Linked DNA regions of Struthio camelus. The protein of the gene in region 1 interacts with the protein of each later gene in a biochemical or structural test. Links are inferred from orthologs where the notes say so. Each region holds a gene or a part of one and is shown on either strand. Other genes may lie near its edges.

Region 1 (7,970 bases):
GATCAATGAGGGTGCAGGCAGTATGGGAAGGGACTTCCTAGCTCCCGGTTTTAGCCGCCTCACCTGGGTATCTAGATTAGGGACCTTGTTTGGGGTCAGCCTCTCCAGGGGAGATGCCCTTGTACCCCGCAACTGATGGACTCTGAGCCCATTGGCACTGGCTGGAGGCAAGGACAAGGCTGACCATTGCGCTGGGCCCAGGGAAAGCTGCGTGTGGGTTTGCCTTGGCTACTGAAGAGCAAGAAATCTTCCTTCTTCCTTTGCCCCTTCCAGCATCCGTGGGCCCCTGCTGCGGTCTTTCAAGGGACAGCTGGAGGGAGTGGGGAACGAAGGTCAGGAAATCTTTGGCTATAAAATACTGTTTCCTCTGTTAATAACATCTGACCAACACCAAAAGACAAAGAGGACCAGGTGGATCAGTTTTGCACAGTGACAAGTTGGAGACTTTTTCTTAAAAGAGGGCATAGGGCGAGGGAGCAGAGCGCGGCCACGCAGCCACTGCCGAACACCAGAAGAGGACAGGCTCTCCCAGCCTGAGCAAGGAGGCAGCTGGTGCGACTGAGTCTTACTGCCCAGAGCACGTGAAAGACATGGGACTTCCCAGAGTCGGCACTCAAATTCCTCCTTGTTTGTGGACGGCTGAATTCGGTCTCAGGCACAGGCTGCTGACGCTCGGCTCTGGCTTTCTCCTCCTTATTGCAAAATCGCAGTCTGGCAAGAGTAACAGTGAAGACATCCCACCGCAGCAAAAAAAAAAAAAAAACATCCGCTGAAAAGAATTTTTTTCACATCGCACTCCTGGCAAGAGCTGGAAACCTGGGACCCTGAGGAAAGTCCTCACACCGGATCCCTGAGGGGCCTTCTCCCCATTTAGCTGGGAAGGGGAAGGAGAAAAGGGGATCTCAAGCTGTGACACATATGCCATAAGGCATTTCAACACGGTACATAGCCTACACAGCACCAGGAATTACTGCCAGTGGTGACACAAGCCATTGCTGTTGCCCATGGACAAACCCAGCAAAAAGTTGCTTTGGGAAACCTGCGATGGGGATCTGCCCTGTGTGACCTGAGAGCTTTCAAGATCATTTCATGTAGGTCCCTGCAGAGCTGTTTTACAGTACCCCAGCAGGGTTGTGCCGCCGTGTCTCAAAATTAGGCACTGCAAGCCTTAATGGCTTCATCAAAACTTTCATTTTATTCAGAAACTCAAAGTGAATCGCTCCCCTCGCTTCCCTGCTTCCGTGTTTCTGCCAAATTTCAAGCTTGGACCACTGCAGGCAGCCCTTTACGCTGTCAAAGTAGTACTGAAGTCAGCCACAGTCAAACTTGAGCAGCGAGAAGATAAGGGTGGGATAGAGGTGGCTTTCCAGGAGTCACAGGAGTCCCTTGGTCCCTTGTTTTCCAGCTGCAGGGACACACACCCAGCACAATCAGCGTGGGATTGTCAAGTGCTGCTCGCTGTACATACATAGGCCAATTCTCCATCCCAAGCCTCAGCTAATCCCTTCCCACCCTGGCCAAAGGAAATGCCTTTTCCGCCCCAGCTCTCGTTCCCGTTCGCACGACAGGCACACTCTGTCCCTTTGCTCCGGCCATTGGGAATCCCTTCACGTCCCTCTCTTCCCCTCCCCGCCTCGAATTTGCTGGAAGCAACCATATATGGTGAAAAATGGAGAAAACGGCACCAGGAAGCTACTGGAAGCTCTGCACAAGGCAGCAGCCTCTGGGCAGCCAGGCAGCAAACTCTCGCAGTGCTTTTCAGAGGCGGGAGCCAGTTATCTAGGCTGAGATGATAGACGGGGCAAAGGATGGCTGGCGACAAGAGGAGCGTGATTGCTCCAGGCAACAGCAGCCAGGGACTCCTGGTAACCAAGACCAGGAAATAAAGGCTTTTATGAGTGCTCTTGTGCATCAGGGTTGTGTTACAGGCACGATTCAGATCGATCATGGGCAGGGGGGCAGTTTTCAGCAAAAACCTTACGTTGCTGGTATGGAGCGTGATTTGTGCTGCCCAGTTTCTGCCTCACCTAATCGCTTCCCCATGACCCACTCAACAGCCCCTGCTGTCAGTGAGTCATCTCAGGGCATGGTTTCTAACTCGGCCCTTCCCTGCTCTTCAGGGTTGGGTTATCCCCGACACATCCAGTTAGTCATGCAACTCTCCCTTCCGTCACTAGCCCATGGCCAGCGAGGAGAAGGCTCTGGGCCGCTCTCCCCATCCGCCTGGATGGCACTGGCCCCAGGGCTGACTTTTCCCCTTCCTTGTGTCCACCACCAAGGCTGGAGGGATCCTCCAAGCAACATGTTGCCAGGGGAAAACAAGCTGAGGGGGGGACCGAGGCCTTAAAAAAATTGCTTAGGAGAAGGGAGGAAGCGCCCAAGAGCTGGTCTCTGCCCAAAACCATAACCGGCTTCTCTTTGATATCATTCTTTTTAAAGAGACGTGACATTTTGAAGCTTTTGTTTTACAGGCTAAAATTCCTCTGCGTTTCCAAGTCCCTTGCTTAATCCAGGGTGCTGCTTGCGTGGGAAACCTTGTGAACCGAGTCTCATCCTGAGGAAGTTGCAGCTGCTCCTCCTTCAGTGGAGAGACCACAGAGGCCTTTCCAGTCAGATGGAGGTCAGGGGAGCAAAGGGCAGAAGCTGATGGACAGATAAAAAGAAACTTGGAGAGGATCCAGGCTTTGAAACGTGCCTTGGACCATATCTCTGGCAAGCCGAGGACTTCATCGCCCTTTGACATCGCTGGAATGCATTTGACAGTTGGGGAGAAAGCCACCATGGGCTGGAAGAGCCAGGTTGGAGACCTCTTTCTTGGGAGACCTGCACCGAGGGAAACCAGAGACGGGGAGCGCAAACACGGATCCCAAAGGAACGCAAGGGTGCGAGCGGGCCAAGAACCAAATTGAGGTCTTTGGGATCGCGTATCCCATAGCTGGCAAGGCTGCAAAGAGAGCTCGGCTCGTTTCGCCAAATTAGAGCAAATCCGTAATTCTTGTGAGCCCGGGGACCTTCTCCCTAGCAAGGGACAACGGGGAGAGCTTGTCAGGACCAGACCTGCAGCAGGAAAAGGCGCACGTCCTCCATTGCGCACCTCACTGCAAAAGAGTTCTCTAGCAGCGAGGAAATTTGTCCTGCAGTTTGGCAGGCGATCAGCTTACACCCCGCAAGTTTATCTGACCATTTTTATCAGTTTATGCTAACAGGTGTGAATTAACTTTGAGGGACGGAGAGGAGGGCAAAGAAATAAAAGCACGGCGCGCGGCAGAAAGGCACGGACAAACAAGCGCCATATCAGAGGGCAAAGGACAACCGAGACAACACCGAACAAAAACACATCCCTTTCCTCGGCGGGGGGGAAGGAAGGTCTTTAGAGTCCCCCCCCACCCCACACACACACCCTGTTTCCACTCCTGCCTTTTTATGGCTCATTTAGTGGCTCCAGAAATATTACCCTCCCGTTTCCTCCCCTCTCCATGCCTGCTTTCCTGAACTGCGAAAGCATTAATCGCTCTTAAAACCCATGACAAAACAGCCTGTCGGGGAGGAACGTGTGTGCTCAGCACGACCACGCACAAATTACAATTCAAGGGTTTCTCCCAGTTAAAAGCCCCACGGGGCAGCGACACGGGTGATACGGTGTCACCCGCTCCCCAAATCCCTGCCGGGGGTATGGGGGCAAGGAGCGGGGGGTCTGCCCTTGACACGGCTCGAAACATCCCGAAGCGGAGTGGGGGGGGGGGACACGAAAGAGGGTGTAAGATGTCCCCTTTTGGCAGATGACGGTCCGATGAGTAATTCTGCTAAAACTCCTGGTGGGGAGGGGGACGTGGCTGCCCCGGGGGGGTGTCACTGGGGGTTTGGGGGGTGGGGGCCACCCTGGAGGGATGGAGATGGACTGAGAGGTGTCCCCCCCCCCACAGGGTGAGGCTTTCTCTTCTCTACCCCAATCCTGCCCTAATTCGCCCCAAATTACAGTGGGGGGAAGCAGAAGGGGGGCTGTGGAAACGCCACAGCTCACTGGGGGTTTGGGGGGGGGGGTCACAGACAGCAGCGGGGGTGGGGGCCACCCTGGAGGGATGGGGACAGACTGAGAGGTTCCTCCCCCCCCCCCCCAGGGTGAGGCTTTCTCTTCCCTTCCCCAATCCTGCCCTTATTCGCCCCAAATTACGGTGGGGGGAAGCAGAAGGGGGGCTGTGGAAACGCTGCAACTCACCGGGGCTTTGGGGGGGTGGGGGCCACCCTGGAGGGATGGGGACGGACTGAGAGGTTCCCCCCCCCACAGGGAGAGGCTTTCTCTTCCTTACCCCAATCCTGCCCTTATTCGCCCCAAATTACGGTGGGGGGAAGCAGAGGGGGGCTGTGGAAACGCCGCAACTGCCTGACGGGGGGGGGGTGTGGAAATGCCCCCAAACAGAGCTGGGGGGGGGGAAACACCCTCAGTGGGGTGAGGGGAGCCCCAGAGCCCTGTGAGGACCGCCCCAGTTCAACCAGTACCAGAGAGCCCGTCACAGTACGGCTCGTCCTGGCCGCTGCCCCCGAGCCCGCGCATCATGAGGGGGGGCTCAACCCCCCCCCCTCCCGCCCTGCCGTCCCCACAAGGAACATTACATCCTGTTCCCCGCTCACCACTGGCTCCCGCCTCCCCCGTCCTCGCTCGCCATTGGCCAGCCGCGCCGTCACTCCGTCCCCTCTCCCACTCTTGCACCCTTCCATTCTCCCGCCCTCCTGCCTGCTTCTCCGCCGCACACGCTCTCCTCTCCTTCACAAGCTGTCCACGCTCCGCACCCGGCGCGCCGATTGGCCGGCGGGGGTGTAAACAACGCGGCGGCGACCAATGGGAGCGCTGATCACGCGAGCAGCACGCTTGGCCATGCGCCCTCGGCGTGGCGCTCTTGTCATCAACAAGTGCGGGAGGGGGGAGGGCGGGGAGGCGGAGGCTATAAAAGGCCGCGTCCGGCGGGGGCCGGGCTCACACCGTTGAGGGCCGAGAGCGGAGCGGCGGGCTGCAGCAGGCGGAGGCAGCGCATCCCTTCTGCCCCACAGCTGCTAGGGAGGAAAAGGTTGACCTTTAGACTAAATTCTGACTAAAAATCAACCTTCCCGAGGTATTTTTTCCCCTCGGTTGTTGCCGTTGAGGGGGGGAAAAAAAAGCACAAAAACTGCCCAGCGTGCGCAGCTCCTTGCCTCGTCCTCAAGAGCGTCTCCCACCCTTCACCTCAGCCATGGTGATGTTCAAGAAAGTCAAGACCTTCCTCGTGGCTTTCAGCGAGCCTGAGAAGGTCTACTGCAGTGGGGAGAAGGTGGCAGGGCGCGTGGTGGTGGAGGTGGCTGAGGTCACCCGCGTCAGCGCCGTCAAAGTGCTGGCCTGCGGCGTGGCCAAAGTCAACTGGGCCAAGGGCCCCCAGCAGTGCAAGCAGGAGATGGAGTACCTGCGCTTCGAGGACGTGCTCACCCTGGAGGAGCAGCCCACTGGTGAGGACCTGGGGCTGGGAAAGGAGGGGTTGGGGGCAAAAGGTGGTGGGGAGCGGGCGGGGAGTGGGTTGGAAGTAATCACCAGCTTTGCCTGCTGGTTGTTGCCCTTCCGCAAGGGGCTGGGTTGAGTCTCCTGGTTGTGCCCGCATTGACGGGGCTAAAGCAGAAATGCTACTTTGAAGAGTTGGCATATTTGGCTGGTGAAAGGAAAAGGGAATTTAATGTTGGCCAAGTGAACTGGTTGAACCCTTGGAAACGGATGAAGGGCAAAACAGGACTCAGCTAGGCTGCAGGTTAGAGTTGGAAAACTTAGGGCTGCTGTGCTCTATCCGGAGCCCGAAACAAAAGTGAGATGGGGTGCTTGTCGGAGCGTACAAAAGACGTTAGGCATTGATGCGGCTGGCTTGGCTTGCCCAACAGGCAGTGATGCTCTGTGCCTGCAGGGAACGAGTACTGAGATTGGCTTTGGCCGGATGTCACTGTGGCAGGAGGTGCCTCTGAGTTCAGTACAGTGGCTGGTACAGTGCACGGGACAGGTGGTCAGAGAGCGGCAAGTCCAGATCTTGTCTGAGCCAAAGAGTCTCAGTCCCTTCCCTGCCTTTATCGCCCTCCCTGTTTGGCTGGCTCTGGGGAAGGCAGAGATAAGCACTTGGCAGGGTGTCTTGGAAGATAAGTGGGGAGACGTGAAATCCTCAAGGTAAACAGATAGTTGGGGAAAGAAGTTAGTACTTTGTACTCCCAGAAAGTGGAAGTAGGATGCGGTAACCAGAGGTAACAGGGTCTGAACTAAAGCCAATCAGGACTTTGTGCCCTGGTTTCAAATGAGGATGTTGAAAGAAGAAGTGAAAGTGTAGTTTAGCAGTACTTCCCTGCCCTGCGAGGACACCAGGTTCTCAGCCTGTTCTTAGGGAACAGGTGTGGGTGGCGCTTACCAAAGAACTAATAGAGCTCTTAATGCCTGCAACACCCGGACTTCATCATAGCCTGTGTAAGCAGAACAGTGGATAATGCTTAGAGCAATACTGCTGGACTTTACCTAATATCTCTCTTCTCCTTTTCTTTTCTCAGATGGGGATGGCTCTGTAATCCTGAGACCTGGAAACAAATATGAATACAAATTTGGATTCGAGCTTCCCCAAGGGTAGGTATTAGACCAGCATTGTCTGAACAAAGTAAAAAAAAAAAGCCTAACCTTAAATTCCTATGGAAAACTGTCTTGTTAGCTCCAATGTGTCTAACAAGTGTGTCTTTTCATAGGCCTCTGGGTACCACCTTCAAGGGAAAGTATGGCTGCGTGGATTATTGGGTGAAGGCTTTCTTGGAGCGCCCATCCTTTCCCACTCAGGAGATAAAGCAGCGCTTTGAGGTTATGGATCCTGTTGATGTGAACACTCCAGAATTACTGGTAAGTGCCAGTTTGTTTTGCCACCTCTGAGAGGTTTGGGTGTCAGTTAGCATTAAGGGATACAAAGGTCCTTAGGTAGGGTCAGTCTGACCTCTGTGGTTAAGACTCCCCCTAATAGGCTTTACTCTTCAGCACAGATTAAATACTTAGTTCTGAAGAACTCTCTAGAAGGCTACACTGAGGCAGGTAGAAGTGAGGCACTGGTTCTGCATTCAGTTAACTGAAAGACACTCAGTCCTCATGGGGAGTGGCAGCGTGAATTTGAGGAAGCTTGAATCACAAAACAGGAGAAGGTGAAGCTCAGGGCTGGAGAGGAGGAATGGGTTGGGAACACCGGGCAGGTTTCATCTGGGTAACGATCTTATTTCTTTTCAGTCTCCAGTTGCTGCCAAGAAGGAGAAGAAGGTGTCCTGTATGTTCATTCCTGATGGCCACGTGTCAGTCAGCGCCCAAATTGACAGAAAGGGATTTTGTGAAGGTAAGAGCCTGTCTCCCCCCCTTAGAAAAGGGAAGGAGCGGGAGCAAAGGGTGAAGGGACAAGCAGTACCTGAGCAAAGGGGCAGTAGTCAGGGGATGTTTAACTAGAAGATCAGTGAAAAACAACAAATACACTTCAAGGAAAAAGTTCTGACCTTCCTAATGCAGAACATCATTCCCTCCTCAGGTGATGAGATCTGCATCAATGCAGACTTTGAGAACACTTGCTCCCGGATTGTGGTGCCCAAAGCAGCCATCATTGCCAAGCACACCTACCTGGCCAATGGGCAGACCAAGGTGTTCACCCAGAAACTCACCTGTGTCCGAGGCAACCACATCATCTCAGGCATGTCCGAGTCCTGGCGAGGCAAAACCATCCGTGTCAAGAAGCTCAAGCCGTCTATCTTGGGCTGCAACATCTTGCGCGTGGAGTATTTCCTGCAGGTGAGTGTCTCTGATGGCTGCTATTGCTCCTCTCATGGTTAGTGGGTAAGCTTTGTCTACGGTTGGTTTCTGTCGTTGCTAACGGCATTCTGGTCTGTACCTTGCAGATCTATGTCAGTGTCCCAGGCTCCAAGAAGATCATCCTGGAACTGCCCCTTGTCATTGGCAG
Region 2 (6,929 bases), on another chromosome or scaffold:
CTTGCTGAGTCAAGGATGACTGAGCTCACCAAACATCCTGGCACAGCTGCAAAAGGGCAGCACAGGAGGGTGTGAGCAGGAAGACAGACAGGTAATCTTCCATCCGCAGCTCAAACTCAAGCTGATGCCACCTGCACCCTGCAGATCACAGGGGCAGAAAGCAGGTGGAAACGCTCATCAGACAGAGGGTTTGGTGTGCCCCACTTCCTTTGAGGTGGGACAAACCGAGGCTAACCGACAAACCAACCTAACTCATCAGCATTTCAGAGCCTCCTGAGTGTTGCTTCCATCAGGGCAATAATTATCTGCCCTTCCCTAAGGCAGCCCACCAGGACTGTTATCTACATCTCCGAGGCCACGTCGGTAAGCACTCCCAGGCCTGCTCACCCTGCAAAGCCACACCAGAGAAAATGCAGCAGTTCCCACAGTGTGCCCTAGTGCGTTAGGGCTCCTGCTCTCACCTTCATGTGGGAAAACAACCAGCTCTTTTCGCTGCCCATTTGAGAGGTCACCGCCCCCAAGATGACTAAGAGCCTAATTGGCTTTGAGATCTTTGCTAAGGCCGAGGTTAAAAGCTACCCAGCTCCCACCCAAAGAGCCTTGGCTTCTCGAGCATACATATTTGTTCCCAGAATTCTTTAGTAAAATGCTAAGCAAAGAGGAAACTAATTCCCCTGGGAACACAAGAGCTAAATAACTCCTTAACAAATCCCATTAGAGACAGTAAGCTGCCTAACAGGATGTACTATTTTAGCCAGGCTCATAGTGGATGCGAGAGGTGGGAAGTAGGTGTGTTTGTTTTCAAGCGTGGGGTCATGTTGAAAGAGGTATGTTTTGCTACAGCAATGCCGTTCCATATTGCGCATGTTGCCACATTCAGGCTAACACATGCTGTGTTGTGTCCATGCCCAAGGCTCTAACTGCATCATGCCTGCTGCTGTGACAATGGGTGTGTGATTGCACAGGTGGCCCTGGAGAATGGCAGGGCACCGTGGGCAATCCCGTTTAGCTCTCACCTTCTGTGGGGCATTGATGACACCGGTGTTATAGCCGAACTGCAGGGAACCCAGCACCGCTCCTCCCACTGCCAGCATCAGGCGAGCCGTCATCTGCAGGAAGGAGGGGGGAAAAAAAAAAAGAGAAAAGAGAAAAGGGTTAGGTTTGAGGGCCTGGCTGTCCCCCCTCTGCCCCAGCCTTCACCTCACTCCTGGCCAAGACCAGTTTAGGAGCCTGTACTCTGCCATATATAGGCTTCCCCGGTCCTTTCACCGGCCCTGTCCAGACAGGGCACCAGTTCCTCTCCCAGGGAGGCACCGTGCAAATGGCCTGCGCAGACCAGGGCAAAAAGGCCTTCCTGTCCCTGAGGCAGAGCTCCCCATATCTCCCCTCATTAATCAGAACTTCCTTGAGGTTGGAACATCTCCCATCATCTCAGTCCCACCAAAACTAGGCTTTGAAGCTCAGAGTCAGGGTGGCCATCTGACTTTGCAGCCCGGCTTCCTCCAAAGGAAGCTGGACAGGTCCCTGCCTGGCTTTGACAGCCTGTTCCCCACCTTGCAGGCCCAGGACCCCTTCTAAGTACAGGACAGAACCAGCACAAGCCACAGGAAGCCATGGTATTACATACTGTACAGGCCAAAGCAACTCAATATCTACCTCCAACACCCCAGTCTCTGCTGCTCAGACCTTCTCCTTTGCAGAGGAATTCTCTATGGCAGGATTATGCTTCCTGTGCTTCTCCCCAAGGGAGCAGAAGGGAGGAGGCATTTTCATAGCCTCACTAGCTTCAAATGCTCAGTGCCTTGCCCCCCTACAAACCACCTTCACCTTCCTTCCCTCAAACGTGCCAGTTCTCATCTACTAGCCCTGTGCTGTGCTACCCAGTAAAACAATTTTGCATTTCAGAAGGAAGTCAGGTGCACTCACAGGTTCTGTACCAAGTTCTGTGACACCTGGATTTTCTCCTTTGACCTCACACCTAGGCAGGCAGCCACGAGAGGCCACTCTTCGTGGGCCCATTTCACCACTGCACAAAGCACCCTGAGCAACCTGAACAAACTTTGAAGTTGATCCTGTTTTGAGCAAGGAATAGGTCCAAATGATAACCAGATGACCCTTCCAAACTAAATTAGAAATACTCTCAGACCTATGGTTTAGTTGCACACTTTGTTCTAGAATACAAGTGGCTGTGATCTATAAAGTCACGTTGGGAAAAGCAGCTTCACAGAAAAAAAGAGAGGGTGTCCTTTCTAAAGGAAAGCACCTAGGCACACAACCCCCTCCAAGTCCAAGTCATCTGGAATTAGCTCCAAGGAGCTCTGGGCTGCCTGCTGACTCAGGAAGATGGGAGACATTTCTTAACAAAATTGTGCCAGCACCTGGGAGCCCAGTCAGAGCAGGGCCTGGCTGCACTGCAAGCTAGACAAGCACGAATAGGCAGAATAGCAGGATAAGAGACAACTCACTTTCATGATTTTTTTTCCCCCCCTCTAAATATACACACACAGACTAAAACAAACTGTTTTGGGATTCCAGGAATTTTCTGCCTCCAGACTCAGGCCCGAGGTCTTATCTGGACCTGCAGCAGCCCATCTGACAACCCCGAGTCACCCCACGTGCCGTGTTCCCCCACGTGACGTGCAGGCAGACCCAGGATATCAGGGAGACTGTATGCAAGAGATAGCCACGTAGACAAAAGAGCCAGCAATATCCCCAGCTCGCCCTGCCAGCCCCATCACCCCACTGTACTTGGGCCCCGTTTGATTTGGCCCTTTGATGCACAGCACCCAGCTCTCGGGGCCGTTTTCAGGGCTGTCACGTGGTTCTACCTTCTTGATTTCTCTCCAGAGTCCCCAGGCACGGTGGAGGCTCTGTGCTCCTGCCGGGCCACATTGTAAGGCTCTTCTGCCCAGGCACTTGTTGGCCTCCTTGACCTTGGACTTTGGATGGAAAATACTCCGTTTTTTGACCAAGGAGAGAGGAAAGGTGTTCTTCAGGAACATTAGGATAGCTGGGCCCCACTGTGACACTGAACCCCCCCCCCCCCCGGTTAAACCCCAGGAAAGACCAGCTGAGCACTGAACATCAGCTCAGGGTCAGCGCAGACCAGGGTGCCCACGCTTAGCTGCACTGGCCATCATCAAGGTGGAGATGCCCCAGACAGCATGGTTCAGTCATCGCTAACAAAGGTTTGCATCAGAGCCTAATTCACAGTTACTAAGCAAAAACCTCCGCGTTTATACAACGCCTCAGTGCCTCTGGCTATTTGGCAAGCCCTCGCCCACCTCCTCTTTCTCCTGCTTAAGCTAAAGCAACAATCAGAGGCTTGTTTCAGAGTAAGGTCAGGGCAGGCCAGCACTTGGGACACCTTCATCAATGGCCCAATTATCCCAGGCAGGAGATTTTCCCGTTACTCAGCCTAGCCATGGTGCCCTGAGAACTAGGATTCGATGTTCCCAAGTTTGGTTAATCAGCTTTGGGATATTCACGTGAAATCAAAGCCCCTTCTTTGAGGGCTCGGTGCTCGCTCTCGGAAGCGACGTTTGCTTCACTGGGAAGGCAGATCTCGCTGAAGCGGCGGAAGCACTTTGCCAAACCCCAGACAGTGTTTCCTTGTTAGGGAGAGCCAAAGCCTTCGCTGGGGCCCTGGGCACCTGATTTGGTGCAAGGGCCCTGCTCTCTCCCCCCTGCCCTGCTCAGGGCCAGAAGTCTGGCTGCACCAACTCTCCCATTTGGGGAACAGCCATTCCTTGCTACAACAAGGCTGCCAGGAAGGACCAGCAAGCCACGTGCTGCAGAGACTTACTTCTCCTTTTACTTTGGCCGCTGCACTTCTCTCGTAGGTTATCTCAAAGTGCTGTGCGCGGAGCAAACCACCACTTCCTGCTTGCCGATACAACAAGCATCTCCTCTGCTGTCCTGGAACAACCCTGGCAGTCCTTTACTCACATTCACGTTAATTCTGTGAGTCTATGACTTCCTCAATGAGCTGCACGTCTCTTCCCATTCACATCCCAGCCCTGTCTGCCCACAGTTGCCTTCCCTGCTGTTCTTGCCTCACTTTTTCTCTGCCTCCTTGCTTGGAAACACCTTTCTTCCCTTGCTGTGGCCCCCTCATTTCCTTCACTCTGATTTCCTACAGAGGGGACAAATCCATGTTTTACCTACTAGATGCCAAATCCAGATCTCTGGGTTTCATTGGCTTTGAAACCTCATCCATGATGCCCCGTAAGACTCATGTTACCCAGCAACATTTATCTTGATGCCTCAGTGAGGTCGGTCTCCCTCCCACAGCATACAAGCAGCACTGGAGCAGGAGAGACTATCTGCTGGCATCCCCCATACTGCAATGGGAGCCCAGCACATCCCACGTCTCAACGGCCTTCAGCAAGCAGAAGGACTCGCAGGTCTCACCTTCCAAGCAAAGGGACACACTATACTTCTTTGGCAACCGCACTACATGAAATGCATGCATAAGATACTTCCCCAATTCTTTCTGTGGTTGGATATTTCTCTCTCTGGCATCTACCCCTGCTGCCTTTCCCAGTCACGTGCGGCAGCACCCAAATGCACAAGAGAAAGGGTTGACCACAGAGGCACCAGCAGGGTGAAACTCTCCAGTACGGGTTATGTAGGAGGTGAAGTGCCTGTTCGCAGAGCCTCCAAGCTGTTAGATCCGAGCCTTTGGAAGGGAAACAGACTGGGCTGAGTGAAGCTCAAAGCTGGACAAATGGCACAGTTAGTGGGAAGTACACTGAAGGCCAATTCCTAAAATACATGGAGGTGGCCTAGCAGTCATCCTGACCCTAGAGAGGGGAGAAGCCTCCAGCTTCCTCAGCGCAGTCAGCCCTGAACAGTTGCCCCATGGCCACCAGCCCATCCGGGCATACACGTGGCCACATTAGCGCTGCTCAGCAGCAAGTCCAGCCCTAGCTGTCCAGCTCAAGTTCCTGGCAGTAGGAATTTCTCTGCTGGATTAGAGCGTGGAAAACTTGATCCCAATGCAGCCACTCTTGCGATAAGGGCTCTCCAGATCTTACAACAACATACGAGGTACATATTTCACTGGTAACAGGGTCAGAGCCAGCTGATCCAGGCAATGCCTACCCCAGCCCTTCTCAAGAAGGGAGAGATCAGCTCCCATCGTGGCTCCACCAGGTCACATCACAGGCAGGTAAGCCGTGATGTGCTGCTCCCTGAAACAGTTACCACTTTAAGGACACGGATGCCACGTAACCCGAGTGCTGCTACCTTCGCAGCTGCCTCCCTCCCGGCAAGCCTCCCAGCCACCCGCGCTGGCTGCGTTCGCTCCCTGACGTAGCGGGGAGGCCATTTTAAAGGAGGAGTCGAGACTTAATGCCCCCAACCCTCTTCATCCACCATCACCCCAATCCTGAAACGCAGCGGATACCACCTGAGCGATCCACGCACCACCCACCCCGATGCCTCTCAGCACACTAACACTGCTACCAGCTGCTGGGCAGGAATCGGTCCTGGGTGAGGAGTCGAGCCCAGCTCCAGGCAATCCAAAACACTCACCCAAACCCCTTAGCCCTAAGCCAGAGTTACAGGGCTTAGTGTTTCCTGATGCCAGCTTCAGGCCCCTTGGAGGCAACCAGCTAAAAGGAAACACCAAACACAGGCACTCGAGGGCAATTTCAGCTGAGCCGAATCCAGCCCAACCAGCCAAATCTAGCCCGTTGCAGAGAAGGCTGCATCTGGCTCCCAGCCCCTTTTATGGGGCTTTCACAGGGCTCCATAAGCTCCCTGCCACCCTGTGACATTAAAGGCTGACAGTACAGTCTGCGTGCAGCTGGGCCCTACTATTGTTTTTGGATGGCAACTGGCACACCCAAATACTTCTCGCCAGAGCATGCCATCCCTCCTGCAAAACAAACCCGGTGAACAGGGGTAAGATTTCAGATAAGAAATTCAGCTGTAGTTTAGCAACTAAATGCATATCAATCCTTCAAGCAGGATTGAACTCCTCAGGGGCAGTGAGGACCACACTGCTGTTTTCACTATGCCTCCAACAGTTCCCTAACAGTTATTTTTATAGCTAGATCACCAAAAACTGGACTAAAAAGAGCAAAGTGTGAGGAAACCACAGACATGGAGCCTCTCTAGCTATGCCAAATCCCACTTTGTTTCCCAGGCATCTTAAGACAAGTATTTCAGAAGCCTGGTGTCAGGCCCACCTAGACTCAGCACTCCTTAAATTGTGAAGGCTGACTGCAGGGTAAGATGAAGAGGCAACACATCCTCACCCCCAGCCAAGAGCTGACAGATTCTACAAGGGATATATTCTTAAATATGAAACATTCACCAGCAATAACTTGCTTGCTGAACTCAATTCTCCTGCCAAGCCACCCGCCTCTGTATTAACAGGGAACTATGAAGTTCACAGGGAAGGGCAGCAACAGGACCCTGAACTGCCTCAGGAAATAAGGCCAACCCTGTTAATTAAGGACATTAATTAGGACTGGCCTGAGCACAACAATTCCATTTCACAAGAAATCGGGGTGGTTTTGGCACTTGCTTTTGTTGAGCGCATCTGACAAACGTGAGGCCCTTGAAAAGAAAATGCCCACTTGAGAGCAAGCAACCAGCTTGGAGCCACCGGAACAGGCTGCGGGAATTTGAACTTGGGTCTCCCACATCCCACAAACCCATCAAGCTGTTAGCGAGGCCACCGTGCACCCAGCCAGCTTCTGTTCTCATGGCGACACTGCCTTCTCCCTACCCCTAGCCAAAATCCTTTTCACCATTTAAAGTTTCAGCCCTCCTGATGAAGATCAGCACTGCAGCTCCACAGCCCAGGCCTGCAACGCAGAGTAAGAGCAGGCCGAGACATTTTGCCAGGGTTTCAGAAAAGCAAGTGGCAGGCAGCACAGCCTAAAACCCTACTTCCAAGGCCCCTGATCCATGAG

Evidence for each region. The genes of interacting proteins can lie anywhere in the genome.
Region 2: the proteins of TXNIP (region 1) and SLC2A1 form a complex in vitro, tested with the Homo sapiens proteins (2 studies listed by BioGRID). The link is inferred for Struthio camelus from reciprocal best matches to the Homo sapiens genes TXNIP and SLC2A1.

Annotation. Positions count from the first base shown.
Region 1 is NC_090971.1:3,047,459-3,055,428, forward strand, and holds the start of TXNIP (thioredoxin-interacting protein), read left to right. Parts: upstream 1-4,968; 5' UTR 4,969-5,225; coding exon 5,226-5,475; intron 5,476-6,543; coding exon 6,544-6,616; intron 6,617-6,732; coding exon 6,733-6,880; intron 6,881-7,255; coding exon 7,256-7,358; intron 7,359-7,544; coding exon 7,545-7,801; intron 7,802-7,908; coding exon 7,909-7,970. UniProt on the Homo sapiens protein: May act as an oxidative stress mediator by inhibiting thioredoxin activity or by limiting its bioavailability.
Region 2 is NC_090962.1:8,721,793-8,728,721, forward strand, and holds the start of SLC2A1 (solute carrier family 2, facilitated glucose transporter member 1), read right to left. Parts: upstream 3,018-6,929; 5' UTR 3,003-3,017; coding exon 2,829-3,002; intron 1,110-2,828; coding exon 1,017-1,109; intron 1-1,016. UniProt on the Homo sapiens protein: Facilitative glucose transporter, which is responsible for constitutive or basal glucose uptake. Has a very broad substrate specificity; can transport a wide range of aldoses including both pentoses and hexoses.